Linked DNA regions of Callithrix jacchus. Each later gene encodes a partner of the first gene's protein in a complex. Links are inferred from orthologs where the notes say so. Each region holds a gene or a part of one and is shown in the gene's direction. Other genes may lie near its edges.

Region 1 (4,497 bases):
TCCCATCTTACAGACAAAGAATGTGAGGCACCAACGGGTTATGCTACTTTCCCAAGATCACATGGGTGGGTAACCGTCAGTGCTGCCTGATTTCAAAACATCTGCTATTAATACAGCACAACAGATCTGGTAGTCCTAAATTCAAATAACAGTTCCACTTCCACCATGTATTCAGTTATGTGAGCTTGGGTAATCCACTTAACATCGCTGTGTTTCAGTTTCCTCGTCTGTAGGATGAGTATAATAATAGTGCCTACCTTGAAACGGGGTTGTTTTGAGGATAAGATGAGTTAATCCACGTAGAGTGTTTAGAACACAGACAGGGGCCGGAGCAGTGGCTCACACCTGTAACCCCAGCACCTTGGGAGGCCAAGGCGGGAGGATCGCTTGAGCCCAGGAGTTCAAGACAAGCCTGAGCAACATCGCGAGATCTCGTCTCTAAGGAAAAAAAAAAAGGAACGCAGACGGCAACGAGCAACTGCCATATCAGTGTTTAGTATAATTGTTGTTGTATTATATTGCTTCTAATGTGTTTTGACTGCTGTCCACATGAGGTGTGGTTTCTGTCTGCAAAATAAAACCAATCCTGTCTCTGGCCCTGGAACCTTCGTTCGATACCCAGAGACAAAGGAGGACCACAAAGTAGGCAAAATTCCCACGTCTTCTTTCGCCGACCACGCAGTCCTCTACTGACTAAGAACGTCCTCTACAGCACCCCAACTGTCGCTCCCGGATTGACCCCTTCGGCGTTCCGTTTTCCCCTCCCTCTCACCGTCTCATAAAAGTTTTCGTCCTCGGTTTCTGGGTCCTCTTGCCATTCCACGGTCGGTTCCGGGGGCCGCTTTCCCGCCGCAACGGGTGGGGCGGCCACAGTCCTGGAGAAGGTGGATTCCCAGCGGACGCGGGCGGCCGGGAGCCCTCGCGTCGCCGCTGCCGCCCAAAGACGGCGAGCGGTCAAACCTAACAGCCCAGCCGCCATGACAGACGGTGCTGCAGGGGCTCAGGGGCGGAGACGGAAATGCGACTGTGCGCAACTGCAGTGGGTGCGAGCGCGACAATTATCGCTCCGTCCCCGCCCGCTTAATAGGTCCCAGATCTGATTTTGTTTTCTAATGAGGCAGGGCGTAGAGCAATCCTCTTTGCCTCCAGTTGTCATGGCTTTGTGGTGCCAACCATTCTCTCACTCTTTCGGCCAGGCTGAGAAATTTCTTATTGATTTCTTATCGATGGGGCTGCTAATTTCCTGGATAGGAAGAAATCGGTGACATTCGGGTTGGTACATTTCTCAACCAATCGCCCAGAGAGTTCCCTCGCCCTTTGGGGAAAGAGGTGGAGCTTCCGCTAGTCTTTCATCTTCAAAGGAAGTCAGGCTTCTAAAAAGCGGGCCCTGCCAGATTGGCCAATAGCTACTCCTTTTCTCGACTAGGGGAGCGTTCGCACAGGGTGTGAGGAGGTGGCAAGCGCTTACCAATCAGAGGAGGCTAGGGCTGGCCCCTGGCGGGCAGCGGCCAATCGCCGGGGCTGGCCAGAGCGCGCTTCCTTAGTAGGTGGATGGTGGTCGGAGCGCCGACTCCCTTCTTGTCGTCGCCATTTTGAGCTGATGACTGTGGCCGGCTGGCAGTAGGCGGCAGTGAGTTTCCCTGGGAGGGCAGCGCGCTTGGCGCTTCTCCCCTCCCCGCGATCTGCCCGCAGCCTCGGACTTGGTTGTTGCGCGCTCCGGCTCCGGCTGAGCTGGGAGAGTTGGAGGAGGTGGCGGCGGGCGGAGGTGATGTCTGGGAGCCCTCCCTTGACAGCCCGGGCCGAGAAGGTGAGCGTCGACGCTGGTCGTGGGGGCGGAGGTAAGGGGCCCGGGGCGGGGACGTAGAGGAGGCGCGAGGGCGGACTTCGGGCCGGGGGGATGCGTGGAACGGAGGGGTGCGTGCAATGTCTTAACCCGGGAGGGGGTGGTGTTTTTTTTTTTTTTTTTTTTTTGGTGTGAGCAAAGGCGCGTGCGCGACTGGGACACTGGCTGGGTGCACGCGGGTTGGGGGAAGGGAGGGACGGATGGGAGTGGGCTGCCGTGGATCACTGTGTCCGCTACACCGAAGTTTTTTCGTGGGTAAGCGGTTGTCTGCGACTTTGAGTTTGTGCATGGGCGAGGGATGCTGCTCTGTGTTAAATCTGGTGTGTATTGGTCCATGGGGAAATGTTCTGTGGTTCTGGTCTCTTTTCCTGGAGGATTGGAGGGAGGATGTGACTCTGGTCTTTACCCTTGGTGGGGGGTGTGTGTCTGTGACTCTGGTCCTTATCTGTGGGGCGGGGCTGGGGGGACGACTGTCTTGTGACTGGCCCAAACCCTCTTATTGGGTGGAGAGGGGGATTCAGGGAATGTGTGTGTGACTCGTTGCCGCTTCTTTTGGGGAGTTCCTATCTGTGACACTGATGCTTATCTGTGGAAAGGGGACCCAGTGTGTGTGTAACTGTGGCCCTTACTGTGGGTTCCTTCTGTGATGTGGGCCCGTAGTTATTTGAGGCTCGTGTCTGTGACTGGCCCTTGGCTGTGGTAGATGTTACTGTGTGACTCTGGCCCCTTTGCCAGAGTCTCTTGAGGGTTTTTGGATCTGGCTCTCAACCGCCAGTGCCTCTGGTGTGATTCTAACTCTTGCTCACCTGGGAGCAGGTAACTCGGGTTCCCTGTGGCTTGAGGAGGAAGAGAAAACTGGAGTGTGTGTATGTGCACGCATAGAGCAAAGGTGTGGCAGCAACCTAGAGTTAGGCAGGTGCTATTATTGCCTAGCTTTACCTGATCCCTATTCATAGGGTGGGGCCCGAAGATCTGGGATTCATCCTGACCTCTGGCTGGGTCACACGGTTCTCAGGACTCCCTAAGTTCTCACCATAGCCCTGAGGGTTGGATGAAGTGTTTGCTGCTCCATCCCAGTAGAGAACAGTGGTTCAGAACAGCCTCCAAAAGGGCCCCTTTTGCCTGTGGAAAATAGGCTTGAGCCCTGGGGAGACAATCACTTTGGGACCTTGCTGCACATAAGAGACAGGGCTCAGGGCTGAGCCATTTGCTGTGTGAGGGCCAAGGCTGTGTTGGCCAGGAGCCCAGGGAGGTGGCAGCTGTCTCGTTGCCAAGTTACCCCCTTCACACATACCCCCAAGAGCCTTTCATGGCCTTTTGCTTCCTTAAAGGGGGCAGCCAGCAGCTTCTTGGGAGGATGGGATGGTACCTTGGGGCCCAGGGAAGGAGCCTGGTGCGTGCGTGGGATCCCCATTGTTATCAGATCTTGCCTGATGTGCTGAATGTCAGCAAGACTTTCAGCACTGAGAGTCCCCTACCCCCACCCTGGGATGCATCCCCAGGCTTGAATTTGTCTACCTGTCTCAGGTGGCAAAGCCCTGATCACAATGTGTGTGGCATCGCCAGGTCTTTCTCCAAGATGCCCTCTGTCTGCTGAAGGCCTTGCTGTTTTCTAGGGCAGTGGGCTCTAGCCTCGTGTTTGTGAGGAAAGGAAGGAGCAGGCCAAGTATGTGGTACCTTCACATTATGATGCACAGGAGTGCTGGGATCTGGAAGACAAGGCGGAGAGCCTTGACAACAATCTTTGTCAAGGAGACCCTCTCTGCCCCAACTGCTTTGACCCCTTTCTTCCCTTCACTCTTCCCAGAGTCCCTGCAGGAAGAATCACCCAGGCTGGCAGATCATGGTAGCAGCAGTGGGGGTGGCTGGGAAGTGAAACGGAGCCAGCGGCTGAGGAGGGGCCCCAGCAGCCCCCGAAGGTCCTATCAGGACATGGAGTATGAAAGACGGTGAGTTATCTGTTCCCAGCCTTCCAAACAGCCTAGGCTTGCCTCTATGTGAGAATCGATCCAAGAAGGTGCTAGGATGGGGCTTCTGGGTAGAGGAAACAGCATAGCAGATGGGTTTCTTTTCAGCAGACAGGTATTTGGCACCTGTTGTGAGCCAGGACTTGTGCTAGGCTCTGAGAATGCAGTGATGAATGAGACATGAGATGCATCCTTCTCAATACTCAGGGTGTCACAGGGAGGCCATGCAGTTTACAGGTGGTTAAGAACACCTTGGTGGGTACCATGGTTGGATGTGAGGGTGGGAAAGGATCAAGAGAAAGGGAGGAATCAAAACTGACATCCAGATTTCCAGCTTGGACGACCTTGATATGTTTGTGTGGTACCGTTTAGCGAGGTGATGGCAGCCACTGGAGGAGGAGGAGGAGGAGCAGCAGCAGCAGAGCAACCCTATAGGTTGGGGCTATAGCTTGGGGTATGAGGGATGGGTGGGAATGGCGCCATCAGAGTCAGAATTTGCTCAGGACCACTAGGGAACAAGCCAGGTCAGGTAGTGGGAGACTCCAGGGACTGTGTGGGCTACAGTTGGCATGATACTTAGTTGGAATGGATACTCTCAGTTATTTCTTTAACTCTGCTATGAACAAGGAATAGCTGAAACACTGGGTAAAATTCAGAAATCCTGAGTAAAATTCAGTGATCCCTCGC
Region 2 (3,811 bases), on another chromosome or scaffold:
ATAAAGTAGTTGAAGTGAGTTCTCTTTTTTAATAATATGTTTTAGTTATTATTTGGTCCTACTACCATACCAAATATTTTTATAGAATTCCATGAATATAATTAAAATACAGACTTTACCTGTGATATATATGAGAATATGCAAATATTGCATAACTTGCTACATTTGCAAGTTATATATTCTCAGAAGTGACTTAACATTCCATATTCTGAGCACCTGTTTCTTTTTACCACCAAGAGAGAACATTGCCAGGCCTTGGCTCCTCATTGCCTTTATTAGTAAAAAGGTACAACTTCTAAGAGGCCAGAAATATATACCAACACTTGTAGTTGAAAGTTTGTATGCATGATTCTGTTGAAATTATTGTCATAAGTAACAGGTGTCATTGAAAGAATACCTTTGTACAGGAATTATATGGTCTGACATGGAAAACTAGCCATTATTATGACCTTGTATGAGTAGAAAAATGCATGCTAAGTTTCTAGCATACAATCAGACTTTTGGAGTATAAGTCATTTGCAAGTTAAAGGCTAACTGTGATATTGTCAAATAAAAGTCTTGACCTTGAAAAGTTTCTGTATCTCTGAAAGAATTATAACATTAGAGTAATAGAATTAACAGGATTTTCATATAATCATTTGAAGATCAATTGTTTTTTATAGGTCTGTGCAGCAGAACCATGTAACAGTCTGAGTACAGGACTACAGTGTGAGATGGATCCTGTATCACAAACACAGGCCTCAGAAACCTTGGCTGTTAGAGGCTACAGTGTTATTGGATGGTATCATTCTCATCCTGCTTTTGATCCCAATCCTTCCTTACGAGATATTGACACACAAGCTAAATACCAGGTATTATATGGATATATTCTGTAAGTGATTGCACACCCCCTCAGTGCTTCGCTTTACACAGATAAATTTTAAACATTTTTTGTTTTGCATTTCTAATATTCTTTATACTAGGAGTTCTAAAAGAACATGCATTTTTTTTCTGCGAGATTGATAAATGTTTATGTAAACATTTAGAAAGTCAGTTATTAAGTACAGCCAAGCCATGAATGTTACAGTGATAAATACTCCTAGAACCTTTAAAAATTAATGGGAGCAACTAGAACTGGAACTAAATATAATTGAAATAATAAGAAACATATTTTTTATAGCTAAAGAAAAAGTTTCATTTTCTGGGATTTTATATTTGATATGTGACTGGGTTTGCTGTAGGGTATTTGTAAATTATTACCATATTGATAAGAATTATAGATAAAGCATGGGGAATATAATTAGTAAATATATTCATGGCAAATACAGATTGTGTAGGCCAGTTTTTTTAAAGGGTGATTTCAGATTTGGTTGAACACATTTTTGCCTGAAAAATTTACAGTGTGAAATGAATGTCTAAGGCATTTGATTTAGTTGCAGTTTGGATGTGAACTTTTTTTTTTTTTTAAAGAGACAGAGTCTGACTCTGTCACCCAGGCTGTAGTACAATGGTGCAATCTCAGCTCACTGCAACCTCGGCCTCCCAGGTTTAAAGGATTCTGCTTCCTCAGCCTCCCAAGTAGCTGGGGTTACAGGCATGTGTTACCACGCCCCAGCTAATTTTTGTGTTTTTAGTACAAACGGGGTTTCACCATGTTGGCCAGGCTGGTCTCAACTTGACCTCAAGCGATCTGCCCGCCTTAGTCTCCCAAAGTGCTGGGGTAACAGGTGTGAGCCATCACACCAGGCCAGATGTGAACTTTTTAATGTACCTTTCTGTTCCTGCTTTTCCCCATTAGATGTTTAAAATGTTAGTATGGATAAACATTGGCTTTTAAATTTATATAGTTGAAACTAATTATATTTTTCTTGTAATTGTAGAGTTACTTCTCCAGAGGAGGTGCAAAGTTCATTGGAATGATTGTTAGTCCTTATAATCGAAATAATCCCTTACCATATTCTCAAATTACCTGTCTGGTTATAAGTGAGGAAATTAGCCCAGATGGCTCTTATCGTAAGTTTTCAACAAAAAATAACTTTATTCTACTTTTACTCTCATTTCTTTGACTTATACAAAACAAAAGATTTGCAACTGTGCAAAATTATTTAATGTCAGAGTTGGTGGCCTCAACTAGGGAATTACTATTTGGGTGCCACCTAGTGTAGCCACCCTCTTCCCTTTCATAATCTCCTGCTCTAGTCAAGTCTCCACTTTTGGTACTATGGCCACTGGGCAAAAGGATTGAAATATGGAGAAAAGTTAGGCCAGGCAGTGTATATTTTAGGCACTGGAGATGCTGCAGTAAACAAAACAGTCTCTGTTCTCATGGAAATTGTTTTTATAAATGCAGACTGGCTTTCTCTGTGATGGCATGCAAATGAAAAAAAAAATGACCACCAGCTCTCTCTTTACCTCCTAGTTTAGGGTTAACAATGACTAACTTAATTTGTATATTTCTTTGTTCCCATTCTATCTCAGGAAAGAATTTGGTTGGCATAGGCTGTCATCTGATTTGATTCCTCTGAGGTTTATATCTACTTGTGGGCAATCATTTCTGGGTGGATAGGGAATTACTATAGCAGACTAGGGAAAGGAAGGGAATGTGGACAGAAGACAAACAATAAGAGGAAACAGTAGGCTAAATAACTCTAGGATATTTATTCTATTATTACTACCACTACTCTAGGTCAGGTCCTCTGGACACTGTTACTACAGTTACCCCACATTGTACTCTTCCCCATTAGATCTGAGCCCTTTGAGAATAAATACTGTATCGTACCCATTTTTCTATCCGGTTTCTAGCACACGGCCTGGTATAAAGTAGATACCAAACGAATGTTTGTTTAATAATTAATTTCTCTTCATTCTTTTTTTTTGGAGACGGATTTTCGCTCTTGTTGCCCAGGCTAGAGTGCAATGGTATGATGTTGGCTCACTGCAATCTCTGCCTCTCAGGTTTAAAGGATTCTCCTGCCTCAGCCTCCTTAATAGCTGGGATTACAGGCATGCCCACTATGCCTGGCTAATTATGTATTTTTAGTAGAGATGGGGTTTCACTATGTTGGTCAGGCTGGTCTCGAACTCCTGACCTTGTTATCCACCTCCCAAAGTGCTGGAATTACAGGAGTGAGCCACCGAGCCCAGCCTAATTTCTCTTCATTCTTAATGATCTCACTTGGATGCCCTATGTTTGCTAATGACTTACCAGCACTGCCCCCATGTTATTACTGTTAGTTGCTCTGTTCTTTATGTATTGCAACACTTTATTCCTGCCTTCATGGTCACTTTATCTTTTAATGTAGTTTATCTGTTTAGCAAGTCCTAATAAACTGCATGCTCAAAGAGCAGGGACTGTGTCTTTTCTTTTTTCTCCAGTAGCACCTAATAAATTGCTTTGCGTCTAGGAGGTGGTCAACACTATGTGGGTTTTTACTGGATTAATAATACTCTGGAATGTCCAATCTGAGCATAGCACATAATACACATTATTCCTTAGCTCAGTACAGTTTTATAAAAAACAGTACCACAATTAACTTGTTCTCTCTTTAAATCATTTTATAATCCCATAGACTGCTAGGTTTTGGAAATAAACCTCAATTCTGGTGCTGTCCAATACAATAGCAGGCACATGGCACATGTGACTTTAAATGTAAATTGATTAGAATTACATGAAATTTAAAATTTCGTTTGTGGAATTCTACTTTGGCAAAAATGAAGTAACAAGAACCTGTCTGAAACTACTAGAAAACTGGACAAAATGTATAAAATATTGGTATTTAAGCACAACATTGAGCAGCAAAGGAATACAATTGCTAAGAGATAGGAAACAAAT

What was found.
Region 2: RBM10 (region 1) and MYSM1 share a complex: the UniProt entries of both Homo sapiens proteins name them as parts of the large chromatin remodeling complex. The link is inferred for Callithrix jacchus from reciprocal best matches to the Homo sapiens genes RBM10 and MYSM1.

Annotation. Positions count from the first base shown.
Region 1 is NC_133524.1:48,107,181-48,111,677, forward strand, and holds the start of RBM10 (RNA-binding protein 10), read left to right. Parts: upstream 1-1,542; 5' UTR 1,543-1,768; coding exon 1,769-1,838; intron 1,839-3,650; coding exon 3,651-3,792; intron 3,793-4,497. Other genes in the region: NDUFB11 (NADH dehydrogenase [ubiquinone] 1 beta subcomplex subunit 11, mitochondrial), read right to left, coding at 773-979. UniProt on the Homo sapiens protein: Binds to ssRNA containing the consensus sequence 5'-AGGUAA-3'. May be involved in post-transcriptional processing, most probably in mRNA splicing. Binds to RNA homopolymers, with a preference for poly(G) and poly(U) and little for poly(A).
Region 2 is NC_133508.1:95,753,365-95,757,175, reverse strand, and holds part of MYSM1 (deubiquitinase MYSM1), read left to right. Parts: coding exon 1-14; intron 15-662; coding exon 663-851; intron 852-1,859; coding exon 1,860-1,992; intron 1,993-3,811. UniProt on the Homo sapiens protein: Metalloprotease with deubiquitinase activity that plays important regulator roles in hematopoietic stem cell function, blood cell production and immune response.